Linked DNA regions of Sus scrofa. The protein of the gene in region 1 purifies or fractionates together with the protein of each later gene. This does not show direct contact. Links are inferred from orthologs where the notes say so. Each region holds a gene or a part of one and is shown in the gene's direction. Other genes may lie near its edges. The genes, in order: SF3B1, SRRM2, USP39, EIF4A3, PRPF4, ZC3H18 and SNRPB2.

Region 1 (3,985 bases):
GTATGTATGTAATACCCCCCTCCCCCCTGTTCAGTTAGCATTAGAGTGTCTATTTTAAGTATGCATGGAATTACTGCTTTATAACTTATTTAAAGACTCCATGTAATGCTGTGGGCGTAGTCAGGAGCCTACTATCAACTACCTGGGTGTCTGTCTTAATTGCATTTATTGATTTCTTTATCAGTAGGAGGGGGAAATCCTCTGTGAATCTGTAGTGAATTTTTTGGGGTTTAGTCAAACGGTGTGTATTTTACAGGGCTTTGCTAAATATTTTGGTTTTAGTGTTTATGCAGTCAGCTCATTTTTGTAGGGCAACTTAAGTAGCGATTTGCTTTTATGATGCAGAGATTTATATGAATGATTTCTAATTTTTATTAAAATATGAACATTTATACATTATATATGTGCACTGTGAGCTTATTTTCATTTATGACATTGGCTCAGTAACACGTTTACATAGATTGTTTGAAAGTGATGAGAATTTCATAAGCCTACTCTGTGTATCTCTTCATTCCCCCACACTTCTGATAAAGTTAATTTAAATTCAATAAGAAATATTAATATTTGTCATATTTTAAAATGAAGACAGAAAAGTCAAGTCAATGTTAATTAATTCTTGTCTCTAAGCAAAAAGCTTCCTAAGTGCAAATATTATTCAGTTATGTTGTTCTTTATAAAGTTAAGGAAATCCTAAACCGTCTTTTAATTCTATTAGGTGCTTCCTCCTCCAGCTGGTTATGTTCCTATTCGAACTCCAGCTCGAAAGCTGACAGCAACTCCAACACCTTTGGGTGGTATGACTGGTTTCCACATGCAAACTGAAGATAGAACTATGAAAAGTGTTAATGACCAGCCATCTGGAAATCTTCCGTTTTTAAAACCTGATGATATTCAGTACTTTGATAAACTCTTGGTAAGTGATAATAGCAGAGATAAAATAGTAATTTTTAAAAAAGGTTTACTGTTTTAAATTATAGTTGATTTAAAAAGTGTTACTTTTTATTTAGTTGTTAAAAATCTTAATCTCCACCTACCTTTTAAATTTTTTACTTTTTCCTATTAGGTTGATGTTGATGAATCAACCCTTAGTCCAGAAGAGCAAAAAGAGAGAAAAATAATGAAGTTGCTTTTAAAAATTAAGAATGGAACACCTCCCATGAGAAAGGTAAGTACCAGTTTATTAAATCATCACGTCATGTAGTCTTAGAGATACTCCATTTTATCCTCAGAGCCTGAAGAGTCTAAGGTAATTACTGGAATTATTTGAGGGAATTGTATCAGAATTTAAAAAAATTTTTTTTTATTATAGTTGAATTGCATTGTGAATTGTATTAGTATTATATGTGGCTTGAAGATGATTGATTCTTTAGGGGAAGTTGAGTTTTATGTTACACTCTTACTCTGTTATCCTTTTTGAATTAACTGAAAACATTTGAGCTTTGATTATAGGAGTTCAAACTTCAGAATAATTTTGATGGGAATAAACTTCGTTCCACTAGTTAGAGAAAACCATAGAATAACTAATTTGCTTATGCAAAATGTTTATTATAAAGAAACATGCCTTTATAATTTTTTTTTTTCTCCAGGCTGCATTGCGTCAGATTACTGATAAAGCTCGTGAGTTTGGAGCTGGTCCTTTGTTTAATCAGATTCTTCCTCTGCTGATGTCTCCTACACTTGAGGATCAAGAACGTCATTTGCTTGTGAAAGTTATCGATAGAATATTATACAAACTTGATGATTTAGTTCGCCCATATGTGCACAAGGTTTGTTTTCAATTTGTGTTTCTAATGGTTTGGTGTTTTTAACATAAAAGGAATTTGTGGACTTTTTTTTTTTAACCAGCTTATTAGATGTATTTATGAAAATTTAAAACTCTAAAACAATAATAGCTGATGGTATACCTTTATTTTTTTATTTTTATTTTTTTGCCTTTTCTAGGGCCGCTCCCGTGGCACATTGAGGTTCCCAGGCTGGGGGTCTAATCGGAGCTATAGCCACTGGCCTATGCCAGAACCACAGCAAGGCAAGATCCCAGCCATGTCTGCAACCTACACCACAGCTCACAGCAATGCCAGGTCCTTAACCCACTGAGCAAGGCCAGGGATCGAACCTGCAACCTCATGGTTCCTAGTTGGATTCATTAACCAGTGGGCCATGACAGGAACTCCGTACTTTTATACTAAAAGGGGAAATTTCAGCCTCTTTAAAATTATTCAGTAACCAGTGTTAAATTTACATACCCTCCAGATCTTTTTCTTTTTGCACAAGCATGCCTCACACATGTACAAATATATACATAAATAGATGTAACTTTTTGCCATCTTATGTGTTGGGTTCATATTACTCATATTTTAAAATCTGCTTTTCTTGATATTAGGATGAGAAAATATGTGTTTCTCTACTGTGCCACTTAGTGCTAAGAACCATTTTTTGCTGGTAGTAATTATGACTTAGAATTGTAAGTTCAGACAGGTGTGTGTGTATATGTGTGTGTTTAATAGTCTGTATGGTTGGAGTTCCCGTCGTGGCGCAGTGGTTAACGAATCCGACTAGGAACCATGAGGTTGCGGGTTCGGTCCCTGCCCTTGCTCAGTGGGTTAATGATCTGGCGTTGCCATGAGCTGTGGTGTAGGTTGCAGATGCGGCTCGGATCCCGCGTTGCTCTGGCATAGGCCGTAGGCCGTAGGCCGGTGGCTACAGCTCCGATTCAACCCCTAGCCAGGGAACGTCCATATGCCGCGAGATCAGCCCAAGAAATAGCAAAAAAGACAAAAAAAAAAAAAAAATAGTCTATATGGTTAACAGTTCTCTCAAATATTCATCTTTATGTGGGGTTGAAATTATGTGATTAAAATCCTAATTTATCCCTTGATTAACAACTTCTTGGCCAGTATAAATTTCCTGTACTCTGTCCCATGAGTATTGCATCAGTAATTGGTGTGACAGTGTAGCTTCTCTTTTTCAGATCCTAGTGGTCATTGAACCATTGTTGATTGATGAAGATTACTATGCTAGAGTGGAAGGCCGAGAGATTATTTCTAATTTGGCAAAGGTATTTATATTTCTGGAGAAGAAAGTTTTATATTAGTTGATGGGATTATTTGATTATAGAAGGAACTGTTTGGGGGGTAATGTTATCAACTCATAACTGTGCTTTTTCTTAAACTTTTAGGCTGCTGGTCTGGCTACTATGATCTCTACCATGAGGCCTGATATAGATAACATGGATGAGTATGTCCGTAACACAACAGCTAGAGCTTTTGCTGTTGTAGCCTCTGCGCTGGGCATTCCATCCTTATTGCCCTTCTTAAAAGCTGTGTGCAAAAGCAAGAAGTCCTGGCAAGCTAGGCACACTGGTATTAAGATTGTACAGCAGATAGCTATTCTTATGGGCTGTGCCATCTTGCCTCATCTCAGAAGTTTAGTTGAAATCATTGAACATGGTAAGTTGTGTTATAACTTTGTTTTTTATAAGACAGATTTCTTGAAATTTAGGCTACAGATTTTGGAGCGAGAAATGGAAGTGAACTGCCTAAACACCATATAGTTTATGATGGGATTTTTAATAGTAGCTGCTCATAGGTTGTGGTTCATACTGGCTTTGGTCTAACTTTGTCTAATATGAACAGCTTCAGTTTGACTTAAGTTGTTATGTGTATCGCTAGAATCTTGATATTATAGAAACTAGGTAAAGTTACTCAGTGGAAACCTGTGTTTGGTTTTTTATAGGTCTTGTGGATGAGCAGCAGAAAGTACGGACCATTAGTGCTTTGGCCATTGCTGCCTTGGCTGAAGCAGCAACTCCTTATGGTATCGAGTCTTTTGATTCTGTGTTAAAGCCTCTATGGAAAGGTATACGCCAACACAGAGGAAAGGTAGATCCATCAATTTGATTTCATTTTTCTTTTTATTTCTACTTATTGAAGTGACTTAAATCTAATGTAACAAATTTGTATTTTCAAAATTTTAAAATAGGGTCTGG
Region 2 (3,985 bases), on another chromosome or scaffold:
TCCTCTTCTGATACTTCTCGAAGTCGGTAAGGTGTGGTCCAAGAGGCGGGGAGGGAGAGGGACATGTGGGTTAATCAATTTAATATTTATTGAGCGCCCACGGTGTGCTAGGCGCTGCACAGACCATTCGGAAGACACGGTCCCTGCCCTCTAGGAGCTGACAGGCTAAAGCATCAGGATGGACAGACATAAACATTTCCCCTTCTCTTTTTTTTTTTTTGTTTTTGTTTTTGTTTTTTGTTCTTTTGTTCATTTTATTTTATTTTGTTATTTTTTTGTTTTGTTTTGTTCTGATGTATATGGACTGCCAGAATAGGGGGGGTGGTGGTTTGTTCGTGGTGTCTGGGGGAGGAAGGAATCCTTACCCTGGCTTCCTTAATCGGGGAAGGCTTCCTGAAGGAGGTGGGCTCAGAGGTGAGTTGTGAATGAAGTGGGTAGGGAATGGACTGGGTGGAGGGGTTTGGGGGGTCTGGGGGAGGTAAACATGAAGGGGTAGAGGGAGAACATCTTTGGGGATTGATGCTGAGAGGAGAAGGAACGAAGCGAACTGGACTTGAATTTCAGTATGAGTGATTTGAATCTTGTGAATAAGAGATTTCTTGGAAAAGGGTTGTAGTCAGGAAAGGTGGATGGGAGCTGGGGAGGGGGTTTTCCATTCTCCCCTGAACTGATTTCCTTCCTCTTTTCCCATCCTCAATTACCCCCCTCAGGTCTCGAAGTGCTGCAGCAAAAACCCATACAACTACCTTGACTGGCAGAAGCCCTTCCCCTACTTCTGGGCATCGAGGGGAGGGAGATGCGCCTTCCAGGGAACCAGGTACTGCCAACACCGGGCAGCCTAGTAGCTCGGAGCCTTCTGCAAAACAGCCTGGCAGTCCTTATGAGGACAAGGGTAAAGACAAGAAGGAGGTGAGTTCCTGAGTTAATGGATGTGTTCATTGGGTTTCAGGGCTATGGTTTTAGTTAGGATATAGGTATTTGAAGTGAAAGAGAACTGAGAACTCATTAAGAGAAGTGGAATGAGTTTTGTTTTCTGCATGTGTTTCAGTCACTCATCAAGTTCTCTTCCAGATCTGCAAAATCCATTAAATTGTGTCTTTCAGACTTGAGTGGTTATTACTAGGTTTTACATCACTATCCTGTTTGTACATGTACATTGATAGAACTTGAACAAAAGTTTTTTATTGCTTATTAACCTTGCTAGTATCTGTTCGTATGGTTTTTGTTTTTCCTTTTAGGTCCGCAGCATATGGCAGTTCCCAGGCCAGGGGTCATAACGGAGTTGCAGCTGCTGGCCTGTGCCACAGCCACAGCAGCTTGGGATCCAAGCTGCATCTGTGACCTACACCGTAGGTCAGGGCAGCACTGGATCCTTAACCCATTGAATGGGGCCAGGGATTGAACCCGTGTCCTCCTTAGTTGGGTTCATTACTGCTGAGCCGCAATGGGCACTTCTTTAGTGTCTGTTTTTTAAATGCTGGTTGTCGCTCATTCTGTGTTATCCAGAAGTTACTTTTCTAAACTACAAGTTGGGCTGCTTCAGAGACTTAATTTACTTTATATTGCTCTTGCCTTAGCTATATTTAAGGCTGTTATAACTAGGTTGCTTTTCCTGTTTTTCAGTACTTTATCCTAGTCTTTTCATGTTCACGTAAATCATGTTTTCAAACCTTTGTCTTTGTTCTTTTACTTAAATATAGTTATTTTTTTAGCAGTGAAGTGAGTCACTTTGGGAAAGTGTTTTATCTCACCATTTAAAAATACTCTTTGTGCACTCAGCATTTTATGATGGTTGTTGTGAAATGGTAGTAATGGTAGTTAGCTTTCTGTTCTTTGTCTAGGTTATAAAACACTTGAGGTCACAGACTATATCTTTGTTTCTCACTGTTTTTTAAAGTATTTGATTTCTTGTTATTGGATGATGTGACTGCTTGTGGTGAGGAAAAGGACAAGTTGGTATAATGGGGTTTGTAGAGGAAATGTTTCATTGGAAAGGGGGTTGGGATCTTACAGGTGATGGGAAGTTTTGGTGCTTACATATGCCTATCCTTACTCTCTTTTCTACTCTTAGAAATCTGCAGTTCGATCTAGCCCCTCTCCGGAAAGGAGCAGCACAGGGCCTGAACCACCTGCTCCTACTCCGCTCCTTGCTGAGCAACATGGCGGCTCCCCACAACCCCTTGCAACAACCCCCTTAAGTCAGGAGCCAGTGAACCCCCCATCTGAGGCTTCACCAACCCAGGGCCATTCACCACCTAAGTCTCCTGAGAAACCTCCCCATTCATCTTCAGAGAGCTGTCCACCATCCCCTCAACCTACTAAAGTTTCTCGACATGCCAGCTCTTCCCCTGAAAGTCCTAAACCTGTACCAGCTTCTGGGTCCCGCCGAGAGATTTCTTCTTCTCCTACACCTAAAAGTCGCTCACGTGGCCGAGCAAAGCGTGATAAGTCACATTCTCATACTCCTTCTCGTAGGGTGGGGAGGTCTCGTAGCCCTACTACCACTAAGAGGGGGCGATCTCGGTCACGAACCCCTACAAAGAGAGGTCATTCTCGGTCCCGGTCACCTCAGTGGCGTAGGTCCCGGTCTGCACAGAGGTGGGGACGGTCTAGAAGCCCCCAGCGCCGTGGCCGCTCTAGGTCCCCTCAGCGACCAGGCTGGTCCAGGAGCAGAAATGCACAGAGAAGAGGCAGGTCCAGATCAGCAAGACGAGGCAGGTCACACTCTAGATCCCCTGCCACTAGGGGCAGATCTCGTTCTAGAACACCAGCCCGAAGGGGCCGGTCTCGGTCTAGGACACCCACCAGGAGGAGGTCACGATCTAGAACACCCACCAGGCGCAGATCTCGTTCTAGAACACCAGCCCGAAGGGGCCGGTCTCGGTCTAGAACCCCTGCTAGGCGCAGATCTAGGACCCGATCACCAGTACGAAGGAGGTCTCGTAGTAGATCACCAGCCAGGAGAGGTGGCAGGTCACGCTCCAGAACCCCAGCCAGGCGTGGGCGGTCACGCTCCAGAACCCCAGCCAGGCGTGGGCGGTCACGCTCCAGAACCCCAGCTAGAAGAAGTGGTCGGTCTCGCTCTAGAACACCAGCCAGGAGAGGGAGATCTCGGTCTAGGACACCAACAAGAAGAAGGTCGCACAGTAGAAGTCTAGCAAGACGGGGAAGATCTCACTCTAGAACGCCACAAAGAAGAGGCAGGTCTGGCTCATCATCAGAGCGGAAGAACAAATCCAGAACATCTCAGAGAAGGAGCAGGTCCAACTCAAGCCCAGAAATGAAAAAATCACGAGTTTCTTCGAGGCGGAGCAGGTCTCTCTCTTCACCAAGGTCCAAAGCAAAATCTCACTTGTCTTTGAGACGAAGCCTTTCGGGGTCCTCTCCATGCCCTAAACAAAAGTCTCAGACACCACCAAGGCGCAGTCGCTCTGGATCATCCCAGCCTAAAGGTAGAACACCGCTAAGGCGAAGTCGCTCTGGTTCTTCTCTGCCTCCTCATCAGAAGTCTAAAACGCCATCAAGACAAAGTCGTTCCAGTTCATCTCCTCAACCTAAAGTGAAATCTGGAACACCACCGAGGCAGGGGTCCGTAACAAGTCCTCAGGCAAATGAACAATCTGCAACACCACAGAGACGGAGCCATTCTGAGTCATCACCTGACCCTGAGGTGAAGTCCAGGACCCCTTTGAGACATAGCTGCTCTGAGTCTTCTCCTAGAGTGAAATCTAGCTCACCTCCAAGACGGAGCCGATCTGGGTCATCATCTCCACAACCCAAAGTGAAGGCGGTCATGTCACCAGTCCAGAGCCGTTCTGGCTTCTCTTCTCCAAGTCCTAGTAGAGTGACATCTAAAACTCCTCCAAGGCAAAGCAGATCAGAGTCTCCATGCTCCAAGGTAGAGTCTAGATTGTTGCAAAGAAACAGCCGTTCTAGGTCCCCATCTCCAGATACCAAAGTGAAACCGGAAACACCACTGCTGCAA
Region 3 (3,985 bases), on another chromosome or scaffold:
TTTACACTCGCACCAGTAGTCCCTGAGCATTCTCACTGCTCCATATACTCATCAACACTTTAAATTTCCTAATTTATTTTTTTCCTCTCTGGTAGATAGGAAAGTATATTGTTGTGCAAGGAGATTTGCATTTTCTTGATCATTGGTGAGACTGAGCATCTTTTCATATGTTTGTGGGAAGTCTTCCTCATTTTCTGTTTGGTTGTCTTTTTAAAAAATCTGTTCACTGGCTTTCTTTAAATAATTGCAAGCAATTCCTTTGTTGGTTATGTGTGTTTCAAGTGTATTCTCTCAGTTTGTGGCTTTTCTGGGTATTGTCAGGCTACCCATACAGGAGCTCGTCCTGATTAGTTTTCCCTATCACTGTGTTTGTTTCTATTGGTAGTTGGTCCTGAGTATGGCTTTCCCATTTTCAAAGCTGTTGATGATTTTCCTTTCAGCAAAGAATGGCCGCTTGGATTCTGAGGACCAGAGGAGCCGCCACTGCCCATACCTGGATACCATTAACAGGTCTGTAGCACAGGGATGCACTAGCACAGGGATGCAGAGGGCAGCAAAAGAACAGTGGAATCTGCAGAAAGTTCTTTGGGCTGTATGTTGAGCAATATGTTCAAAAACTTTATCTCTTTTAGGAGGAGTTCCCGTCGTGGCGCAGTGGTTAACGAATCCGACTAGGAACCATGAGGTTGCGGGTTCAGTCCCTGCCCTTGCTCAGTGGGTTAAGGATCCGGCGTTGCCGTGAGCTGTGGTGTAGGTTGCAGACGCGGCTCGGATCCCGAGTTGCTGTGGCTCTGGTGTAGGCCGGTGGCTACAGCTCTGATTGGACCCCTAGCCTGGGAACCTCCATATGCCGCAGGAGCGGCCCAAGAAATAGCAAAAAGACAAAAAAAAAACTTTATCTCTTTTAAAGCTTTCTGGGAGTTCCATTTTCACTCAGCAGGTTAAGAATCCAGCGTTGTCAGTGCTGTGGCTCTGGTTACAGGGGTGGCATGGGTTCAGTCCCTGGCCCAGGAACTTCCACATCCCATGAGTGTGGCCAAAAAAAAAGGCTCTCTGCCCAGAAAATTCTACTTCTTGCCATGTTTTTTAATCTTTGCCCTTCAGTTTATTTATGTATTTATTAAAAAATTTTTTTTCCATGGAGTTCCCGTCATGGTGCAGTGGTTAACAAATCCAACTAGGAACCATGAGGTTGCAGGTTCGATCCCTGGCCTTGCTCAGTGGGTTAAGGATCCGGCATTGCCGTGAGCTGTGGTGTAGGTCGCAGATGTGGCTCAGATCCTGTGTTGCTGTGGCTCTAGCGTAGGCCGGTGGCTACAGCTCCAATTCGACCCCTAGCCTGGGAACCTCCATATGCCGCGGGAAGCAGCCCTAGAAAAGACAAAAAAAAAAAAAAAAAAAAAATTTTTTTTTTCATTATTGGCTGCCTCTCAGCCAGGGATCAGATCTAAGTTGCCACCTAAGCCACAGCTGTGGTAACACTGGATCCATAACCCACTGTGCCTGGCCAGGGAGCGAACCTGTGTCTCATTGCTTTTAGGAAGCTGCTGATCCCATTGCATCATAGTGGGAACTCTTGCCCTTCAGTTGAAAGTGTCAGAGGGCATGTTTTTTCAGGGTGGGCACATGCACAGAGAACTTGTAGTTCATTTTGAATTTGTATGAGGAAGTAAAGGGATACACTGTGTCAATGACAATAGCAAATTTAAATATTTATTGAACACCCGCTCTGTGCTAGGTATTACGCTAGGTGCTTGGGATTCAGCAGAGAAAAAAAAAATGTCCTAAAGCAGAGGTGGTTGCCTCATCCTGATATTTTTTGATCCCAGATGCATCTTAGGATGATTTTTCATACATGCTTTCGGGTAACTCTGTCTAATAGACTTTTTTTTTGCACCAATGGAGTGGCTCTTTAGGGCTGTTCATTGTGGTAGGCACAAGGCACCTGTGGCTACTAACCACTTGAAATGTTGGCTTGAGTAATTGAATTTAAAAATTCTATAAAATTTTTTATTGGCTGCACCCTTCACATGCAGCACGTGGACGTTCCCAGGCCAGGAATTGAACCTTCACCAGAGCAGCCACCCGAGCCCCTGCAGTGACAGCCCTAGATCCTTAACCTGCTGTGCCACAGGGGAACTCCCGTGAATTTTAAATTTTATTTAATTTTAATTAATTTACATTTAAACTCCAGTAGCCATGTGTGCCTCGTGTCACCTTTAATGGACAGTGCAGCTGTCCTAGGACCATTACTGATTAATTAGAGTTAATACTTGAGAAGGAATCCCTTTGCCACCTGTGGATTCAGTAGAGGTAAATTGTTTTTTTTACTAATAATTTTTATTTTTTCCATTATAGCTGGTTTACAGTGTTCTGTCAATTTTCTACTGTACAGCAAGGTGATCCAGTCACACATACATATATACATTCTTTTTTCTAATAATTTTTTTTTTGTCACTTGTCTAGTGTTCATATACCATGACTTGAGGAGATAGATCTGTTTTTGGGTATTTCCCTAAAATTCTTCAGACTTCTCACTTATTTTTATGGCCTTCTTAATAAATTTTTCTTTTATGAATGGGTTTATTTGCTCTTTTTATGTCATTTTATGCCCAGTCTTTTCATTTGAAATGCTGTTGGCACTGTGTTACTTTAGTCCTACTTGTAGCTTTCCTTCCAGAGAAGGTAATAGAAGATTCTCATCTGGTTGTGAATACTAAAAAGAAAGAGGGTCATTGATAAAGATATCTCTTTTTTTAAATTAAAAACTTAAAAAAAAATTAATGGCTATATGGGAAGTTCCTGGGCCAGAGATTGAATCTAAACTGCAGTTGGGACAAAGCTTGATCCTTTTAGTCCACTGCACCCGGCCAGGGATTAAACCTGTACCTCTGCAGCAGCTACTCGAGCTGCTGCAGTTGGATTCTTTTTTTCTTTTCTTTTTTTTTTTTTAGGGCTGCACTTGTGGTATATGGATGTTCCCAGGTGAGGGGTTGAATCAGAGCTGCAGCTGCTGGCTTATGCCACAGCAGTGCCAGATCTGAGCCACGTTTGCAAACTATGCCATAACTTGTAGCAATGCCAGATCTTTAGCTCAATGAGAAAGGCCAGGAATCATCATGGATACTAGTTGGGTTCTTTTTTTTTTTTTTTTTTTTTTGTCTCTTGTCTTTTTCGGGATGCACCTATGGCATATGGAGGTTCTCAGGCTAGGGGTCTAATTGGAGCTGTAGCCGTCAACCTACACCACAGCCACAGCAATGCCAGATCCGAGCTGCATCTGCGGCCTACACCACAGTTCACGGCAATGCTGGATCCTTAACCCACTGAGCAAGGCCAGGGATCGAACCTGCAACCTCATGGTTCCTAGTCGGATTCGTTTTAACCACTGAGCCAAGATGGGAATTCCTACTTGGGTTCTTAACCCGCTGAACCATAATGGGAACTCTTGCAGTCAGATTCTTAACTCACTGTGCCACAGTGGAAACTCTGATGGAGATACCTTTACACTACTTTGGGGCTTGGTGGGTGGAGGTACTGTATTAAATGTCTAGGTAATGAAGAGTTCATGTTTCCCATGATTTGTATGTGGTTGTTGAGCCATTCTCTGAAGGATGCTACGTGGGAACACGGAGCCAATGCTGCTTCACTCGGTGCTTGCCTAGGCATCCATCCCTATTAATTGTTTCTGTTTTATTTTGGTTCTCTTAGGAGTGTGCTGGACTTTGACTTTGAAAAACTGTGTTCCATCTCTCTGTCACATATCAATGCCTATGCCTGTCTGGTGTGTGGCAAGTACTTTCAAGGTAAATAGATGTTTTGCATTACAGACTTGCTGAATCTTCAGTGCTAACCACAGGTCTATTGCAGAGAGTCGTTTTTTGAAAGAAAGTAAGCTGCTATTAGGAATCAGGTCTAATAACCCCCATCTTTGTTCCCAGGAAATTGGAATACTCTTAGAAAATCCACAGGAGGTTCTCTGATT
Region 4 (3,985 bases), on another chromosome or scaffold:
TCCCCGATTATGGGGAGGTTTTCTTGCCCTTTCAGAAGTCTGAGGTCTTCGTCTAGTGTTGAGTAGATACTGTGTGAGAATTTTTCCACGTGTATTTTTTGACATATCTGAGGGAGGAGGTGAGCTTCATTTTGATCGTGCCCCCCCCCCCCGAGGTTTTTAAAGTGAAATTGACATGTAACATTTCCAGGTGGACCGCGTAATGGTTTGATGTCTATGGGAGTATTTTTTGGTGAAAATCCAGATGTTTTAAAATGTGGCAATCTGGCCAGAGTTGATGCAGATCCTTTCAGGGCAGCAGCAGCTGGAACTGAGTCGTCATCACCTGCAGGGGTCCACGTTTGTTGGCCTCTCGGGGCTCGGGTTTCTGTTGCTTTTAACTGTTGGCATCCAGGACTCTCGGGGGTGGGGGGGCCGTGATCCCACCCGGGAGATGAGAGGGGATGCGAGAATTTGGTCCAGCTCTGCCGGAAGGTTCCTCGTGACGTCTGCACCTCACGACGACATCAAATGCGTTAGATTACGTGTGAAGAGTTGGCGTTGGATTTGTGCAGCCTAAAACTTCCCCGTGTGTCTCACCCTTTGTCCCAGGGTTCAAAGAGCAGATCTACGACGTGTACAGGTACTTACCCCCGGCCACGCAGGTGGTGCTCATCAGCGCCACGCTGCCCCACGAGATCTTAGAGATGACCAACAAGTTCATGACCGACCCCATCCGCATCTTGGTGAAACGGTGAGGACGCCCTGCTTTGCAGATGGGACTGAGGCAGCATAGTTGTATTTGGGGTTTCAAACGTGAAAACTATTTATCCTTTTCTCTTTTGAAAAGCCAGGTTTGAGGATATTTCTATAACTAGAGCAATGGAAATAAAATTGTAGATAGTTTGGGGGAAAGGCCAGCTTTTATACATTCTCTTTTGATTCAGTAATTCCAGATTTTAAAATTTGCTGATAGTGTTTACATATCAACAAGATTATTTATCATTGGTTATGATATTATTGGTTATGTACATATTATTGAACAGCTGAACATTTGAAACCACATACAAGGTTTGGTGGTTATTAAAGGTTCAGACTGATCCAGGCTGTTAAAGGGACAGCAGAGGTGCTGGCTCCTGGGAGGATGTGGCTGGCGGGAGGGCAGGGGTTTAATGACCAGGCCCCTGGGCTGCCAGGGTCGGGCTGGTGCTTGGACAGTGCCTGGCCTGCATGTGCTCTCAGGTCCTTTTGGAAGGATGAGTTGACAGGCTTGTCTTTGTCCTGCAGTGATGAACTGACTCTGGAAGGCATCAAGCAGTTCTTTGTGGCCGTGGAGAGAGAGGAGTGGAAGTTTGACACCCTGTGTGACCTCTATGACACACTCACCATCACTCAGGCTGTCATCTTCTGTAACACCAAGAGGAAGGTACGCGCCCCTTTAATGTCCCTGAGGCAAAAACTGAAGATGGCTTCTCACAGAACCTAGGTCAGACTCTGTGTCAGGGGCCAGCAGTACCTGCGTTAGGCTTTCAGCACATGGTCTCTGGCGGCCACGGTGTCTGCTCTTTAGCTCTAAGTCTTCGTGGACAGTGGGTAGACACGTGAGCGTGTCCAGGATGTTGGTCCGGCCCCACAGCTGAAGGCTCAGGGCCATTGGTTCAGGTGGGATGTGGGCCTGGTTCTGTGCTCCCAAGTGATGCTGACGTGCAGGCAGAGCTGAGAACCCCTGGCAGGTCTCTTTGAACCACATTCCAAAGAAAGTGTGAATTTACATTTCAAATGAGAACAGCGATGTATTGTCCTTTTTTTTTTTTTTTTTAAGGGCCACATCTGCAGCATGTAGAAGTCCCCAGCCTAGGGGTCTAATTGGAACTGCAGCTATGGGCTACACCACAGCCACAGCAGTGAGGGATCCCAGCAACATCTGTGACTATGCCACAGCTTGTGGCAGTGCGAGGCCAGGGATCAAACCCACATGGTCATGGATACTGGTCAGGTTCTTAACCAGCTGAGCCACCAGTGGAACTCCCAAGCCAGGGACTATCTGAGCCACAGTCGTGACCCAAGCCACAGCTGTGGCAGTGCAGGATCCCTAACCCACTGTGCCAGGCCGGGGATTGAACCTGTATCCCAGTGTTCCCATGACGCTGCCGATCCTGTTAGGCCACGGCGGGAGCTCCACCCGCCTCCCCTGCCCTTGTTTTTTTTCTAGAGAATTTTTTGCCCTGATATGTGCTGGGCAAAATTCCAGTGGAGATTAGCCTGCGTTTTCAGATCGCTTTCTGAGTATTCGCATTGGCTCTGCAGGAACTGACAGGACATCCTGAGTACAGTCTCTGGTTTGTGAGCTCATGGCAGCATCTGCTGGTTCCGTCTGTAGGTTGACTGGCTGACGGAGAAGATGAGGGAAGCCAACTTCACCGTGTCATCCATGCACGGGGACATGCCCCAGAAGGAGCGCGAGTCCATCATGAAGGAGTTCCGCTCGGGTGCCAGGTGGGTCAGCTGTGCCCTCTGCCCTGGTCCCGGTGCAGGTGCAGCCGGCCAGCGTTCACGGGTGGTTCCGAGTTCTCCCCCGCAGCTGAGCTCCGGGAGGTCAGCTTGGGGGGGCTGGGGGTGTGATGGATTAGGTTGAGGTGAGAACTGGCCTTCGCTATGTAGGTTGGCTGCCTTACTGAGAAACTTACTTTGCTGTTTCCACATATAAATCGGGATTTTCTGTTAATCTTTTTGTATTGGTTGTAGCTTAGTTCCTCTGTAGTCAGAGAACTCGCTGTGTGTGATTTCAGCCCTCCGTGGGAATTCAGACTTGCTTTCTGTCCCCGCATGGGGGTCCTCTTACAGACCTTCTCTGTGCTCGGACCAGACGGGTGCTGTGCGGTGCTGGCGCAGTGCGCTTGCCTGTCTTCTGGCTTTCAGCTGCCCGCTCTGTTTGTCAGAGCTGCATCCCCCCCCCGCCCCCCGCCTTACCTCTGTTTCATCAGGGTTGAGGCTGCTGTCTTCCTCTTGGGGGTTCTGTCCATTCTTGCTTTCTGTGCCGAGACTCTGTGTCCGAGTTTAGCATGACTGGATCTCCCTCCAGAGGACTTAGCTGTCACCGCCAAGTGTCTGCCCTCCGCTGCTAGTGCTGTTCCCAATCCTGCTGTAGGACGGACCCCGCGTGCTCGGTGACTTCTTAGCAACCACCGCCCCCGCCTCACATCCGGTTTGCAGGCTTAAGCTTTAGGTGGATTAAGTAGCATATAGTTGGGTTTTGTTTTTCCTTTTCTTTTCATGTGATGATGATTGCTGTCTTTTAACTGGAACATTTAGTGTAGTTTCATTTAACGTAAATACTGACGTATTTGGGTTTAAATGGACCGCCTTGTAAGTGCATTTTACTTGTCATTTCTTCCTGTGATTCTCTTTCTTTAGTTTGGATTTTGTTATTATTCCTCTCCCCACTTCTCATTTTGGAAAATGTTTATTTTAGTTAGTGGTTGCCCTGGAGAGTCGTCAGCCGCTGTCTCCCCTGACTGCACAGAGAACTTGAAACCCCGACTTCAGTGACCCCCCTTCTCCACTTCTTTCGCTTCATGTAATGAGCTTTTCCATTTAGGGACGCGAGGCCCACACTCGTTATTCTTCTCGCTCCTGGGAGCTTCCATCAGGCTGCACTTCCTTCTGCCTGAAGAACGTCTTTCTGTATTTCGTTTGGGCTTTCGCTCGTAGCAGAGTAGCAGTTCCCTGGCGGCCCAGCAGGTCAGGATCTGGCGTTGCCACTGATGTGGCTTGGGTTTGATCCCAGGCCTGGAAGCTTTTGCCAGCCTCAAGTGCGGCCGATAAAAAAGTCTTAGTTTCTAAACTGCAAATGTCTACTTCATCTTGACCCTTCCGATGTGTTGAAGGAGGCAGTCCAAGTGGGATTGGTCCCAGGAGCCTGTGGACACTCACGTCCTTTATAGGAAGTGGCCCAGTGCAGTTGGCCCTCCCTATTCTGTGTAAAAATCGATGTCTCTTCTGCAGG
Region 5 (3,985 bases), on another chromosome or scaffold:
TTGAACCTTCTGTCTCAGCTGTCCTTTCTCATTCTTGACCTACTGACCTAATTAATTGAGAACCTTCATGAGGCCTTCACTGATTCCCTTCAGGCCTAGGTTATTTTTTATTTATTTGTTTATTTTCTCTTTATGACTACATCTGTAGCACATGGAAGTTCCCGGCCTAGGCATCAAATTGGAACTGCAGCTGCCAGTCTGCACCACAGCCATGCAGGATCCAAGCTGCATCCGTGACCTACACCGAACCTTACTCCAAGGCTGGATCCTTAACCCACTGAGTAAGGCCAGGGATGGAATTAGCATCCTCATGGAGACTATGTTGGCTTCTTAACCTCCTGAGCCACAGTGGGATCTCCCAGGCCTAGGCTGTTTACTCCTTCTATGATTCCCCTTAGCAGCCTGGGCTTACCACTATCATAACACTTAATGTAATGTACTATGGTTCCCCAGTACTTTCTGTATATCCTGTATCCTGTCCACCCTCACCTCCACCCCCGCCATGCTACTTGAAATCAAGAACTGTTTCCTAGTCTTTTTTTTTTTTCTTGGCTTTTTAGGGCTGCACCCACGACATATGGAAGTTCCCAGGCTAGGGGTCAAACCAGAGCTGCAGCTGCTGGCCTGCACCACAGCCACAGCAACTCAGATTCCACGCTGCATCTGCGACCTACACCACAGCTCACGGCAACGCCAGATCCTTAATCCACTGAGCAAGGCCAGGGATCAAACCCGTGTTCTCATGGATACTAGTCGGATTCATTACTGCTGAGCCATGATGGGAACTTCCGCTCAGTCATTTTTTATACTCAGCACCTGAGTCAGTATCCAGCACATTGTGGCGTTGAGTGATTCACAGCCCAAGTGGTAGCAGTGGTGGGGCTGGCTGACAACTAAGTTGAACAGGGTGATTGCTTTTAGTTCAATTTAGGGACTCTGCAAATCAAGACCTCTGAGTGGAAGAAATCACACAGGAAGTTCAGGCATCACCACGTGACTCCTAAAGAAGGTGGCCTGGGTTTGAATGGTGAGAGAGTAGGGCTGACTTGTCCTCTTCTTAGAGAGACTTTTCACAATCTCACCTCTATTTAAATCTGATCTTTTTGGTAACAGGTTAAGAAACATCCTCTCAGTGGTCGGTACTGATGCCTTAAAAAAGACCAAAAAAGATGATGAGAAATCCAAGAAGTCCAAAGAAGAGGTAAATATGTCTTCGACTTCATAGTATAAACATGCAGTGAACAAGGGGGTAGTGCTCTCGTCTTCTGCTTTCGGTGGTTTACTTTGCTAGATTAGGGGACGGGGAGTCGAAGACTCTACTGCTCAGAAAGAGTTGTTGGCAGTAGTTTGTGGTTCCTGTGTAAGTCTAAATGGAGGTAAGTCAGTTTCCCATTCAAGACAGAACCATAGCATTCTTGGTGTCGCTTTTAATAAGGAACCAGAAACCATCCAATGAGAGTTCATAGAAAGAAACACAGGAGAAGGCACATGTACCTGATTTCGTCCTATTCCTGAACCAATTCACCTTTTTTCTGGGCAATTATAATAGGAAATTGACAGCAATAAAAGGGGTAGGCATTGCTTGAGACTTGACATTTCTACTCTTAATTTAACTTTCAGTATCAGCAAACCTGGTACCATGAAGGACCAAACAGCCTGAAGGTTGCTAGACTGTGGATTGCTAATTATTCACTGCCCAGGTAAGGAGAGCCTTGAGAGGGAGGAAAGAGCATACTTTTTCTTACTTCCTCTCAAAGACTGAGAATCTGCTTTATAATTACTGTGGTTGTTCATTAAAGTTGAGTGGTAGAGAGACTTGTGTGGACCCTTGTTTCCAACCCCTTTGCTCAGGGTGATAATGCTTCTGTCACAGGGCAATGAAACGCTTGGAAGAGGCCCGTCTTCATAAAGAGATTCCTGAGACAACTAGAACCTCCCAGATGCAAGAGCTGCACAAGTCTCTCCGGGTGAGATGCTCTCAGCGATTGTCCAATGTCTTGAAGATTCTTAAATATTTATTAGATGTTCTACTTTGGCCTGTCTCTAGCAAGTGAAGCCAGCTATGCTTATCCTTCTCTGCTTACACTGTTGCTGTTTGCAAGAAGCTATCAGTTAAGGTGGCAGGAAGCTAGTGTCCTTTGTACTCTGCAGAGTCCTGTGCTTCTACTCTTCAGTTCTCCGTTTTAATACATTAGACTGTACTTTAGATCTTGCCATGGCTTTCCTGTTTTTTGGGGGGGTTTGGTTTTTGGGGTGGTTTTTTTTTTTTTGTCATTTTAGGGCTGCACCTGTGGCACATGGAGGTTCCCAGGCTAGAGGTCTAATTGGAGCTACAGCTGCTGGCCTATGCCACAGCCACGGCAATGCCAGATTCGAGCCGAGCCTGCAAGTCTGCACCACAGCTCATGGCAAGTCGGATCCCTAACCCACTGAGCAAGGCCAGGGATTGAACCTGCAACCTCATGGTTCCTGGTCGGATTCGTTTCCACTGTACCACGATGGGAACTTCGGCTTTCCTGTTTATATTTAGCTGACAGAAGCTAGTGATACTAAGACTGTAGAAGACAGCTGGATGGAGTTTCCATTCATTCATTGATACAAATGTCTCCTACCAAAAAAGGGTGGAGTAATCTACGAGTGGGTTTGAATTGGAAAGGTGTTGGGAGGGTTTTTTTGTTGGGGGTGGAGGCACAATGGGGAGGGTTGGGGTGTGTGTATGTGTATGTGTGTGATTTTTTTTTTACTGGTGGAAAATCCAAGAAGGTCTGAGATTAGCCTGATAATGATCCTTTGTTTGTCTTTTTAAGTCTTTGAATAATTTCTGCAGTCAAATTGGGGATGATCGGCCTATTTCCTACTGTCACTTTAGTCCCAATTCCAAAATGCTGGCCACAGCTTGTTGGTAAGTCCCATTTTACAGTGCCATTTTTTTTCTAAGTGGGGTTCGGGGAAAAAAATCAGCATTGGTCTTACAAAGCCATTTCTATACCATTTGCCTCTGCTTCTCATGGCCACACCACGCTCGAGAGGTCAGTGCTCATTCATTGTATTTTACAGCAGAGCCTTCAATTAGCAGTTCTTAGTGTTCCCAAGGGACCCCAGAGATCCCTGACATGTCTGTCGTGTCTTGGTACTTGCATCATTTTGGAGCAGGTATATAAGTGAGCTTATAGACTGGCTACTCTGCCCATCTCGATACAGCTTTTCTTTTTTAGTTGTGTGACTTCATCTCTGTAATTCAGTTTCCTTATTGGTAAAGGTGAGATCATGTTTGTAAAGCATTTTGCCGTGATAGTGCCTAGTAGGTGGTAAGGACTCAGTAAACACGGATTATTATTTTTATCTTCATTTTGTTTTCCATTTGCCACTACATGTGCAGAAAACTCTTAGAGAGTGATAACTTTGTTGTTTTGTTTTATTTAGTTATTTAGTTAGTTCTTCTTGTGGGAGGGGAAACGTCTTTTATATTATACACACAGGAGCTCCTTGACTAGGCAGAAATTGAGACTGTGGTTCAGGAGAAAGCCGAGGACCTACACAATTCCCTCCACCCCTCCACGCCTCAGTTACCTTCATTATAAAGTAGAAATGATCATTGTCATAGGTCTGTCATAAGGATCATTTGAGGTGATAGATATGAAAATAATGTATTGGAAATTTTCCATAATAAAGCCTTTTTTTTTTTTTTTTTTTGCTTTTTAGGGCTAAACCTATGGCATATGGAGGTTGCCAGGCTAGGGGTCCAGTCAGAGCTACAGTTGCCAACACCACAGCCACAGCAACGCAGGATCTGAGCTGCATCTGTGACCTACACCACAGCTCAGGGCAACACCGGATCCTTAACCCACTGAGCGAGGCCAGGTGTCGAACCCACAACCTCATCGTTCCTAGTCAGATTTATTTCTGCTGTGCCACGACAGGAACTCAAAAGTAAAGCTTTTTTAAAAAACTTTAAGTATTTTAAAATTTTAAGAAGAGCAAAATG
Region 6 (4,576 bases), on another chromosome or scaffold:
TAGAAAGGCTTCTACAGGCTGTACAGGATGGAGGCTTTTATAGGTACAACGACATTAAAAGGCTGGATTACTTCAGGCCAGGTCACCCTCCTTTAGGGGGAGGCAAGGGGTCTTAGGCAGATTACTCCCTAGTGCTGACCAGAAAGCTCCAGACTAAAGGATTTAAATTTCCACTCCTGGGAGGGGCTGAAATTTCAATTAGATTAGTCATGAAGTCTGGTTAGGCTTAGCATAAGTGACTCCATTTTGGGGCTGTTGTTTTCATTTTTTTAATTTAAAAAAATTTTTTTTATTTTTTATTTTTTTGTCTTTTGTCTTTTTACGGCTACTCCCAAGGCATATGGAAATTCCCAGGCTAGGGGTCTAATCAGAGCTGTTTCTCTTTAAACAACATTGGGAATAGTTAAAAAGTTTAAGCTTTGACATTTAAACTCAGTATCTCAAAAATGATTGTTTTGTGTTGGATCAGTTATATTTGATAAAGCAATAGCTATTTAGTTACACAGAAATAGTTTCAAATGTTTCAGCTTTGACTTTTTTTTTTTTTTTAGGGCCACACCCTCAGGATGGAGGTTCCCAGGCTAGGGATCTAATCCGAGCTACAGCTGCCGCCTACGACACAGCCACAGCAAGCCAGATCCGAGCCGCGTCTGTGACCTGCACCACAGCTCACGGCAACACCGGATCGTAAACCCACTGAGCGAAGCCGGGGATCAAACCCCCAACCTCATGGTTCCTAGTCAGATTCATTTCCGCTGTGCCACCACGGGAACTCCTAGGCTTTGACATTTTAACTCGCTATCTCGAAAATGATCATTTTGTTTTGAACTGATTCTATCTAACGGAAGGGGGGATTTAATCCCCCCAAAACAGTTTAAAAAGTTTAATCTTCGTTATTTAAACTCATTTCCTGGAGTTCCCGTCGTGGTTCAGCAGAAAGGAATCTGACTAGCATTCCTGAGGAAGCAGGTTCGATCCCTGGCCTCGCTCAGTGGGTTAAGGATCTGGCACTGCAGTGAACTGTGCTACAGGTCGCAGACACGGCTCTGCCCCCTCGTTCCTGTGGCTGTGGTGTAGCCCGGCAGCTACAGTTCCGATTTGACCCCTAGACTGGGAACTTCCATAAGCCGCGGGTGCGCCCTGAAAAGATTAAAAATAAAATAAACTCATTTCCCTGAAAGGACTAACTTTGGATTGGGTGCGCAGCCCCCCTGCGCGGAAGCTCCCCACCCGGAAGGGGGCAGGTAAGTTCTTCGCCCCACCTCCCCGGGACCCATCTCCGCGCGCAGCTCGCACAGCGGGGCGGGAACCCGCCGGCGCTCACGCGTCACGTGACCCGGAGGCCCGGGAAGCTCTCCCAGCCGCACGACGGCCGGCGCGCGCGTCCTGAGACCCGCCCGGGAGGCGGGGCCTCGGCCGCGCCTGCGTCCTGTCGGGTTCAGGCGGGCGCGCGCCGCGGGGGCGGGGCTGCGAGGAGGCAGCTGCGCGGAGGCCGGAAGGAAGCGGGCGGAGGGCGGGGCAAGAGAGGTAAGCCCGCCCGGCCCGCAGGACAACCGTCGCGGCCTGATGACGTCGCACAATGGCCGGCCCCCGCGGGTAGTGGAGCCCGTTTGTTCCGCCCGCGTCGCGCCTCAAGCCGGAGCCTGTGAGGAGCGGAAGGGTCGAGGGACGACTTCCCCACGCCGCCCCGACCTCCGCGGAGCCGTGGCCCCCCCTCCCTGCTCTCGTAAGGTAAGTGGTGGCGCCACCACGGAGGCGGGGCGGGTAGAAGGAGGAGGCCGAGGCGGCCGGGCGGGGAGCGTGGCGGCGGCGCGGAGCGGAGGCCGGGGAGCCCCGCCGCCTCCGCCTCCGGGGAGCGCTCCAGGCTGCCCGCGGCCGAAGCGTGGTTCTCGAGCCCCAGGAAGAGGACGTTGACTCAGGCACGATCCTGCGCTCCTTTCGCTGCGAGCCGGCCGGGGACCCTGGAACCCTTTAGCCCGAGCGCACGGCGGCTGCCTCCGCGCCCGCCGTGGAGTTGATCTCCCGAAGCTGTCATTTCTCTTCCGGGACATCCGCGTGGCAGTGTTTGCCGCCTACAAAGACCGGGGGAGGGGGCGGCGGAAGGAGGCACGCAGGCTCACCCTCCGGACTGGGGATGGGCTCTTCAGGAGCTTTGAACTCTCTCGAGCCTCTTGGAACTTGCCCCCTCGGCTTCCCGGTGGCACAGGTTGGACCTATGCGCTGCGCCCCAAGATGCGCGCCACTCTTTGGAGTAAACTTCCTTTCCTTTGGTAAGGAGCCCAAAGGATGCCGGGTCATTGCTGGGGGGACGTCAGACTTTAAGACTTCCGGCTTTGCTCCTGCGAAAACTTCAAGTTTTCCTGAATTCTTACGACAGCTGAGTTGGCCAGGTAGAATGGTCGATTATCTTAAGTGAGCTGTTCAGCTCCATCTGTTAGAGTAGATCAGCCTTCGGATCTCTTTGGGGAGAATGGAAGGAGAGGGCTTTTGGGGGCACAGCAGTGGCTCTCTTGGTTTCTCATCTTCACGTTGCCTTTGGAGTGGTCCTTTCCCAGAGCGGAGATTGGGATTCTCAGGGTGAGTCTGGACCTGGGCTGATTCCCATTTCCCCAACAGGAAGTCTTTTCCTAGTGATTTTACAGTCTGAACACATGTGTGGAGCCCAGCCAGCTCTGAAACCATTCAGATGTGTCCCAGAGGTTAAAACCCCTCAGCCTCTCCAATTTGAGGTGGGAGATGGTGAAACATTTTATGAAAACTTTGTGGAATCGTTCCCGAGAGCAGAAGAGTTTTTGGGTTTGTTTTTTTTTTCCTTTTTCACTGATCATCTCGAGGTGAGTGAGTGCATCCTCCCTGAGGGGTCATTTGGGGTCAGGCTTGGTCAGGTTGGGGACAGTGTCTGTCACCAACCCACACATCCTTCCTTTGGATGTTTTAAGTCTATGAAGTTATGATTCTGCATTTTCTTTTTGTCTTTTTTTTTTTTTTGCTATTTCTTGGGCCGCTCCCGCGGCATATGGAGGTTCCCAGGCTAGGGGTCCAATCGGAGCTGTAGCCACTGGTCTACGCCAGAGCCACAGCAACTCGGGATCCGAGCCGCGTCTGCAACCTACACCACAGCTCACGGCAACGCTGGATCGTTAACCCGCTTAGCAAGGGCAGGGATCGAACCCGCAACCTCATGGTTCCTAGTCGGATTCGTTAACCACTGCGCCACGACGGGAACTCCTGATTCTGCATTTTCTTTTTTTTTTTTTTTTTTTTTTTTTCTTTTTTTGGCTTTTTAGGGCTGCACCCGCGGCATATGGAGATTCCCAGGCTAGGGGTCCAATCAGAGCTACAGCTGCCCTGCTGGCCTACGCCACCGCCACAGCAATGCCAGATCCGAGACGCGTCTGTGACCTATACCACAGCTCATGGCAACGCCAGATCCTTAACTCAGTGAGCGAGGCCAGGCATCAAACCCGCAACCTCATGGTTCTCAGTCAGATTTGTTTCCGCTGTACCAGGACGGGAACTCCTGAATCTGCATTTTAACTAGGCGTACCAGACTTGAGCATTCAGGTAGGGCTGCTCTATTAAAAGTTGTTAGCCTGGATGGTTATGTTTATATTCATTGGCGCTCCTTTGCCAAACCTCTTTCGAAGTCCTGTTTTTGTAGTAAATATATAAGCCTTGTTTGGGATATGTATCAGTCTCATTCCGTGGTCACACCCCACGTGTGACCAGAAATGCTCTTACCTTGCTTGGGAACTCACCCCACTGACCAGACTAGGCTCTGCACTGGTTTCTTTGAGAGGAGGAAGACATGCTGCCCTGGAGAGTGCCAGGCTCTGAACTGGTTTCTCAAAGTGATGCCACTTGAGAGGAGGAAGATGTGCTGCCATGGAGAGTGCCAGGGAGGTGCTGCAGGTTCGGAAGGTCACTCGGGAAGGAAAGTTCCCACGTGCCGTTCACTTGGAGTCCAGGTGTAGCCTTCCAGAGCGACTGCTGGGAAGCAGGACAGCACCCGCGGGGTCTGAGTTCCAGCGCGCTCTTCAAAAAAGGAGACGCTTGGTTCCCATGTCTTCCTGGTGCCCAGGAAGTAGTTGATCCAGTGCGAGACTTGTCACTGACTCCACAGGCAGCTGTCAGTGACCGTCACTAAATCTAACATGCTCTGGGGACTCTCTGGCCCTTGTTCTTCTGTTCTCCAGGCGAGTTCCTGTCTGTGGATCAACGCACTAAAGCCTTCTAAACTCTGCCAGTAATGCTGGGTTATGGGGCGATTGTGGGAGCAGAAGAAACTGAAAATTGTGAGCCTAGGAGTCGGTGAGGACGCGACCGCAGGTCCTTCCATTTCCGCGTGTGCACTTAATAGACCAAGGGTTTTCCTGGCAGCTGACATAGAGCACGTGTTCAGATATTTGCCAGATTAAATTAATCTCAGAACAGGACACTCATGCCCAGAGAGTCTGTTAACTTCCCCAGAGCAGGGCTGGGAACACCCTTCTGAGCCCCAGTGACCTCCCCCATCCGTGCAGCAAGGTGTGATTGAGGTTGCCTCTGATAAGTAGATGGGTTCTTTGGCATGTTT
Region 7 (3,360 bases), on another chromosome or scaffold:
CATTAGACTGATCTCATATTGAAGGTATTTTAGGAGGTCCATTCTCTGCCTTTAGGAAAGTAGTAGTTGCTGCCAAGTCGCCAGCATCCTGGAAAAGGAAAAGAATGTTCCTTGAGCTGTCTTTACTTAGGTGGTTTCAGTTGCTCTTTAACTCAACATACCAGATTAGAAATGAACAAAAATTTATATAACTTGGAACTCAGAACAAAATTATGCTCTGTGATTCAAGGATATTTGGATATTTAATTTCCAAAGTAGCTCAGTAAGACAGAACCATCTTCCTAAGGGCTTCTGTAATGAAACCTTTGGAATAAATGTAAATCTTGCGCCTTCTCTAAGTTGTGAATGGACTTTTATCCTATACCAGGATTTAGTCTAGACCAGGGCTTTTCAGCATCTGATACTTGGGGTATTTGAACTGAATAGTTGCTGGGGCTGCCTTGTTGGTTGTAAGGTGTCTAGAGCACCCCTGGCCTCTGCCCTCTTAGCATGACAACCCACTGTGCCCCCTTTCAGCACTGCCAGCTGTCTCCTGGGGGCGGATTCTCCCCTGATTGAGAACTGCTGCTCCAGACCAGCCTGCTGAAAGCGAGGATTCAGGGCAGAGGTATTCTCAGGCCACAGGGACAAATACAAGACCACCCAAGATCTGTTTAGGTCAACAAGGAGGTTAAAGACCCAGGGTAGCTGGGAAGGAATCCTTGGGACCAAGTCAGAGTTAGTCCAGACCTGTCCCTTTCCATTAGATGACGACATGCAGGATTATCAAGAGTTGATCACAGCTAAGTCCGTGGTCTAGTGGCTAGAGCTTTCATAGGAAGCCTTTGGGACTGAGCGGTCCTGGGAGGCCTGCTGCCCTCTCATTCTCCTGTACATTCATCTCTAGCTAATGTAAAAGAAAGGGAGTTCCTGCTGTGGCCTAGTGGGTTAAGAACCCAACTGCAGCAGCTTGGATTGCTATGGAGGCATGGGTTCGATCCCTGGCCCGGTGCAGTAGATTATAAAGGATGGGGCTTTGCTGCAGTTGTGGCTCAGACTCAATCTCTGGTCCAGAAACTTCCATTGCCATGGGTGAGGCCATTTAAAAAGGGGTGGGGTGGGGAAAGAACTGCTTGGTTGTGACACATTTCTTGCTTTAAAGCCTGCATTACTTTAAAATGTCACTTGTTCCCTTCAGACTGAAATCAATTTCTTGCCATACGGGACAATTTTAGAGAGAATTGATAGGGCTGTGGTGTTTTGGTATGATCACAGAGGTAGTTTCGGCTCTTTGGGTGCCAGGGAAGAAATATTCCCTTGAATTGGAAGTTGTAGTTTGCAAATAGGCACACCTGGATGACAGCATAACTTGTAGCAAAAGTTTTGGGACAGGTAATTGGTATGAGACTTAGCTATGTGACAGTGCCTTAGGGCAGGGCCATACTGCTCATGGTGTGCCCCCTCTCCCAGATGCCCTCTGTGCTTGTTTTAAGTACAGACTCTCAGGCCTCAGCGGAACCACTGCATCAGGATCTGCAAGTTCTCTGGGTAATTGGAATGCATGTTAAATTTGATGAAATGTAGTCCTAGACCAGGGTGTTTCCATGCCTGCTCCCTGGTGTGTGCTATGCCTCCTGGCTATGGCCTGTCAATCAGGTCAGTGTTGTAGTTGCACTAGCTATGTTGTCATCCTTTTGTTTCCTTTCAAAGCTTTTAAAATTTAAGTTGATGCCCCCATTAGTCATTTCATTTAAAAATAATAGCTCAGATTCAAAGGCAGGTCTTTCTCAATCTTTGGTACTTTAATTTCGGAAGTAACAATCCCATGCATATTTTGACCTTCTGTTGAGCATCCTTGCTAAGGGATGGACAGCTTTCCAGTGCAGTTTTCTCTGTTTTTTTAAGTGGAGGAGAGCAGTGGTATGGATATTTCAAAGTCCCGTTTTCTCATCTGAAAATATATGGTTTTTTCTTCTAATACACATAGCTGAATCTAACTTTGTCTCACTTGTAAATCATGGGCCACAATTTATTTTCATTTGGAGCTCAGTGTATTTGACATTTCCTTAAGGATGTGTTTAAAATTAGCTCATATTTGCTTAATGAAATTTGCAAAATTAATGACAAGTGTAAACAGGCTTCAGCGGAGTGAAAAGTAACCTGTTTTCAAATAATTAAAACAGCGAATCCAGTATGCAAAAACAGATTCTGATATAATATCTAAAATGCGTGGTACTTTTGCTGACAAAGAAAAGAAAAAAGAAAAGAAAAAAGCCAAAACTGTGGAGCAGACTGCAACCACCGTGAACAAGAAACCTGGTCAGGTAAGATGGGCAAATGTTCATATTTTTTTGGTGTCAGAAAATTTGATAGTTCTTTGTCTTCCACTTGAGGGGTGATCTTTGGGGCATGCTTGTGCATCTCTGTGTGTTTGAGGTGGATTTTTAAGAAGCTAGAATGGTTGAGTTCTAACATTTGTAGATTTGTGTTTAAGCAACACATTATAATGTAAAACTTTACTTATGGCAGATATATATTAAACAGTTTTATTTGAATTTGCCTGACATTTGGTTCCATCATTCTCCAAAATATGTTAATATCTATTGGCTTATTTTTCAAGTTCTGTGTATAAATAATGCTATAGATGTTACCTTGTAATCATGAGTATTCCACTCAAAGCTGCTTTCTTTGAACAGTTCAGGAATTCAAAATCTAATTCAAAATACTAGATAAAGGTGAAATTATCATCCAAAAAGTAGTTACTTTGAGATTGAAAGTGATTACAAATCAGTTTTACTAAGTATGATTTTTTGCTTTTTTGTGTATTTAAAAAAAAAAGTGAGAAAGACTAGTTCTTGGCTTTTCTCTTATATATTTCTCCATAATTTTAAAGCCTGGAGGTTGAATTTTATGATATAGTCTAAAGTTAGGGCTAGACCTTTCAAAAATATTCTACTATACATAAATGTTTGAGTGAGTTTTTGAAATGTAAATTTGCAGCAAAAGTAAGGTAGAATAAAAAAATCTGTTAATCATACTTTTATGCAGTAATTATAAATGTAAATATCTGCTGGGGTTTTTGGGGTTTTTTTTGTCTTTTTGCCTTTTCTAGGGCCGCTTCCTGCGGCCTACAGAGGTTCCCAGGCCATGGGTCTAATCAGAGCTGTAGCTGCTGACGTACACCACAGCCACAGCAATGTGGGATCCGAGCCGCGTCTGCAACCCACACCACAGCTCATGGCAACGCCGGATCCTTAACCCACTGAGCAAGGCCGGGGATCGAACCCTCAACCTCATGGTTCCTAGTCGGATTCATTGACCATTGAGCCACGACAGGAACTCCGTGCTGGGTTTTTTTAGAAGGGTTGGAAATTGTAACTT

Evidence for each region.
Region 2: the proteins of SF3B1 (region 1) and SRRM2 purify together in Homo sapiens (co-immunoprecipitation; 3 studies listed by BioGRID and IntAct, with this or other methods). This does not show direct contact. The link is inferred for Sus scrofa from reciprocal best matches to the Homo sapiens genes SF3B1 and SRRM2.
Region 3: the proteins of SF3B1 (region 1) and USP39 purify together in Homo sapiens (co-immunoprecipitation; 3 studies listed by BioGRID and IntAct, with this or other methods). This does not show direct contact. The link is inferred for Sus scrofa from reciprocal best matches to the Homo sapiens genes SF3B1 and USP39.
Region 4: the proteins of SF3B1 (region 1) and EIF4A3 purify together in Homo sapiens (co-immunoprecipitation; 3 studies listed by BioGRID and IntAct, with this or other methods). This does not show direct contact. The link is inferred for Sus scrofa from reciprocal best matches to the Homo sapiens genes SF3B1 and EIF4A3.
Region 5: the proteins of SF3B1 (region 1) and PRPF4 purify together in Homo sapiens (co-immunoprecipitation; 3 studies listed by BioGRID and IntAct, with this or other methods). This does not show direct contact. The link is inferred for Sus scrofa from reciprocal best matches to the Homo sapiens genes SF3B1 and PRPF4.
Region 6: the proteins of SF3B1 (region 1) and ZC3H18 purify together in Homo sapiens (affinity purification with mass spectrometry; 3 studies listed by BioGRID and IntAct, with this or other methods). This does not show direct contact. The link is inferred for Sus scrofa from reciprocal best matches to the Homo sapiens genes SF3B1 and ZC3H18.
Region 7: the proteins of SF3B1 (region 1) and SNRPB2 purify together in Homo sapiens (co-immunoprecipitation; 6 studies listed by BioGRID and IntAct, with this or other methods). This does not show direct contact. The link is inferred for Sus scrofa from reciprocal best matches to the Homo sapiens genes SF3B1 and SNRPB2.

The regions. Positions count from the first base shown.
Region 1 is NC_010457.5:101,285,800-101,289,784, reverse strand, and holds part of SF3B1 (splicing factor 3B subunit 1), read left to right. Parts: intron 1-715; coding exon 716-913; intron 914-1,063; coding exon 1,064-1,165; intron 1,166-1,586; coding exon 1,587-1,766; intron 1,767-2,968; coding exon 2,969-3,055; intron 3,056-3,175; coding exon 3,176-3,446; intron 3,447-3,732; coding exon 3,733-3,878; intron 3,879-3,978; coding exon 3,979-3,985. UniProt on the Homo sapiens protein: Component of the 17S U2 SnRNP complex of the spliceosome, a large ribonucleoprotein complex that removes introns from transcribed pre-mRNAs.
Region 2 is NC_010445.4:39,281,982-39,285,966, forward strand, and holds part of SRRM2 (serine/arginine repetitive matrix protein 2), read left to right. Parts: coding exon 1-26; intron 27-710; coding exon 711-909; intron 910-2,071; coding exon 2,072-3,985. UniProt on the Homo sapiens protein: Required for pre-mRNA splicing as component of the spliceosome. As a component of the minor spliceosome, involved in the splicing of U12-type introns in pre-mRNAs.
Region 3 is NC_010445.4:59,146,492-59,150,476, reverse strand, and holds part of USP39 (U4/U6.U5 tri-snRNP-associated protein 2), read left to right. Parts: intron 1-440; coding exon 441-510; intron 511-3,711; coding exon 3,712-3,806; intron 3,807-3,985.
Region 4 is NC_010454.4:2,306,110-2,310,094, forward strand, and holds part of EIF4A3 (eukaryotic initiation factor 4A-III), read left to right. Parts: intron 1-591; coding exon 592-733; intron 734-1,266; coding exon 1,267-1,405; intron 1,406-2,359; coding exon 2,360-2,475; intron 2,476-3,985. UniProt on the Homo sapiens protein: ATP-dependent RNA helicase. Involved in pre-mRNA splicing as component of the spliceosome. Core component of the splicing-dependent multiprotein exon junction complex (EJC) deposited at splice junctions on mRNAs.
Region 5 is NC_010443.5:253,912,396-253,916,380, forward strand, and holds part of PRPF4 (U4/U6 small nuclear ribonucleoprotein Prp4), read left to right. Parts: intron 1-1,113; coding exon 1,114-1,201; intron 1,202-1,620; coding exon 1,621-1,700; intron 1,701-1,873; coding exon 1,874-1,967; intron 1,968-2,807; coding exon 2,808-2,902; intron 2,903-3,985. UniProt on the Homo sapiens protein: Plays a role in pre-mRNA splicing as component of the U4/U6-U5 tri-snRNP complex that is involved in spliceosome assembly, and as component of the precatalytic spliceosome (spliceosome B complex).
Region 6 is NC_010448.4:1,078,500-1,083,075, reverse strand, and holds the start of ZC3H18 (zinc finger CCCH domain-containing protein 18), read left to right. Parts: upstream 1-1,547; 5' UTR 1,548-1,731; intron 1,732-4,576.
Region 7 is NC_010459.5:25,367,615-25,370,974, forward strand, and holds part of SNRPB2 (uncharacterized protein LOC768116), read left to right. Parts: intron 1-2,162; coding exon 2,163-2,303; intron 2,304-3,360. UniProt on the Homo sapiens protein: Involved in pre-mRNA splicing as component of the spliceosome. Associated with sn-RNP U2, where it contributes to the binding of stem loop IV of U2 snRNA.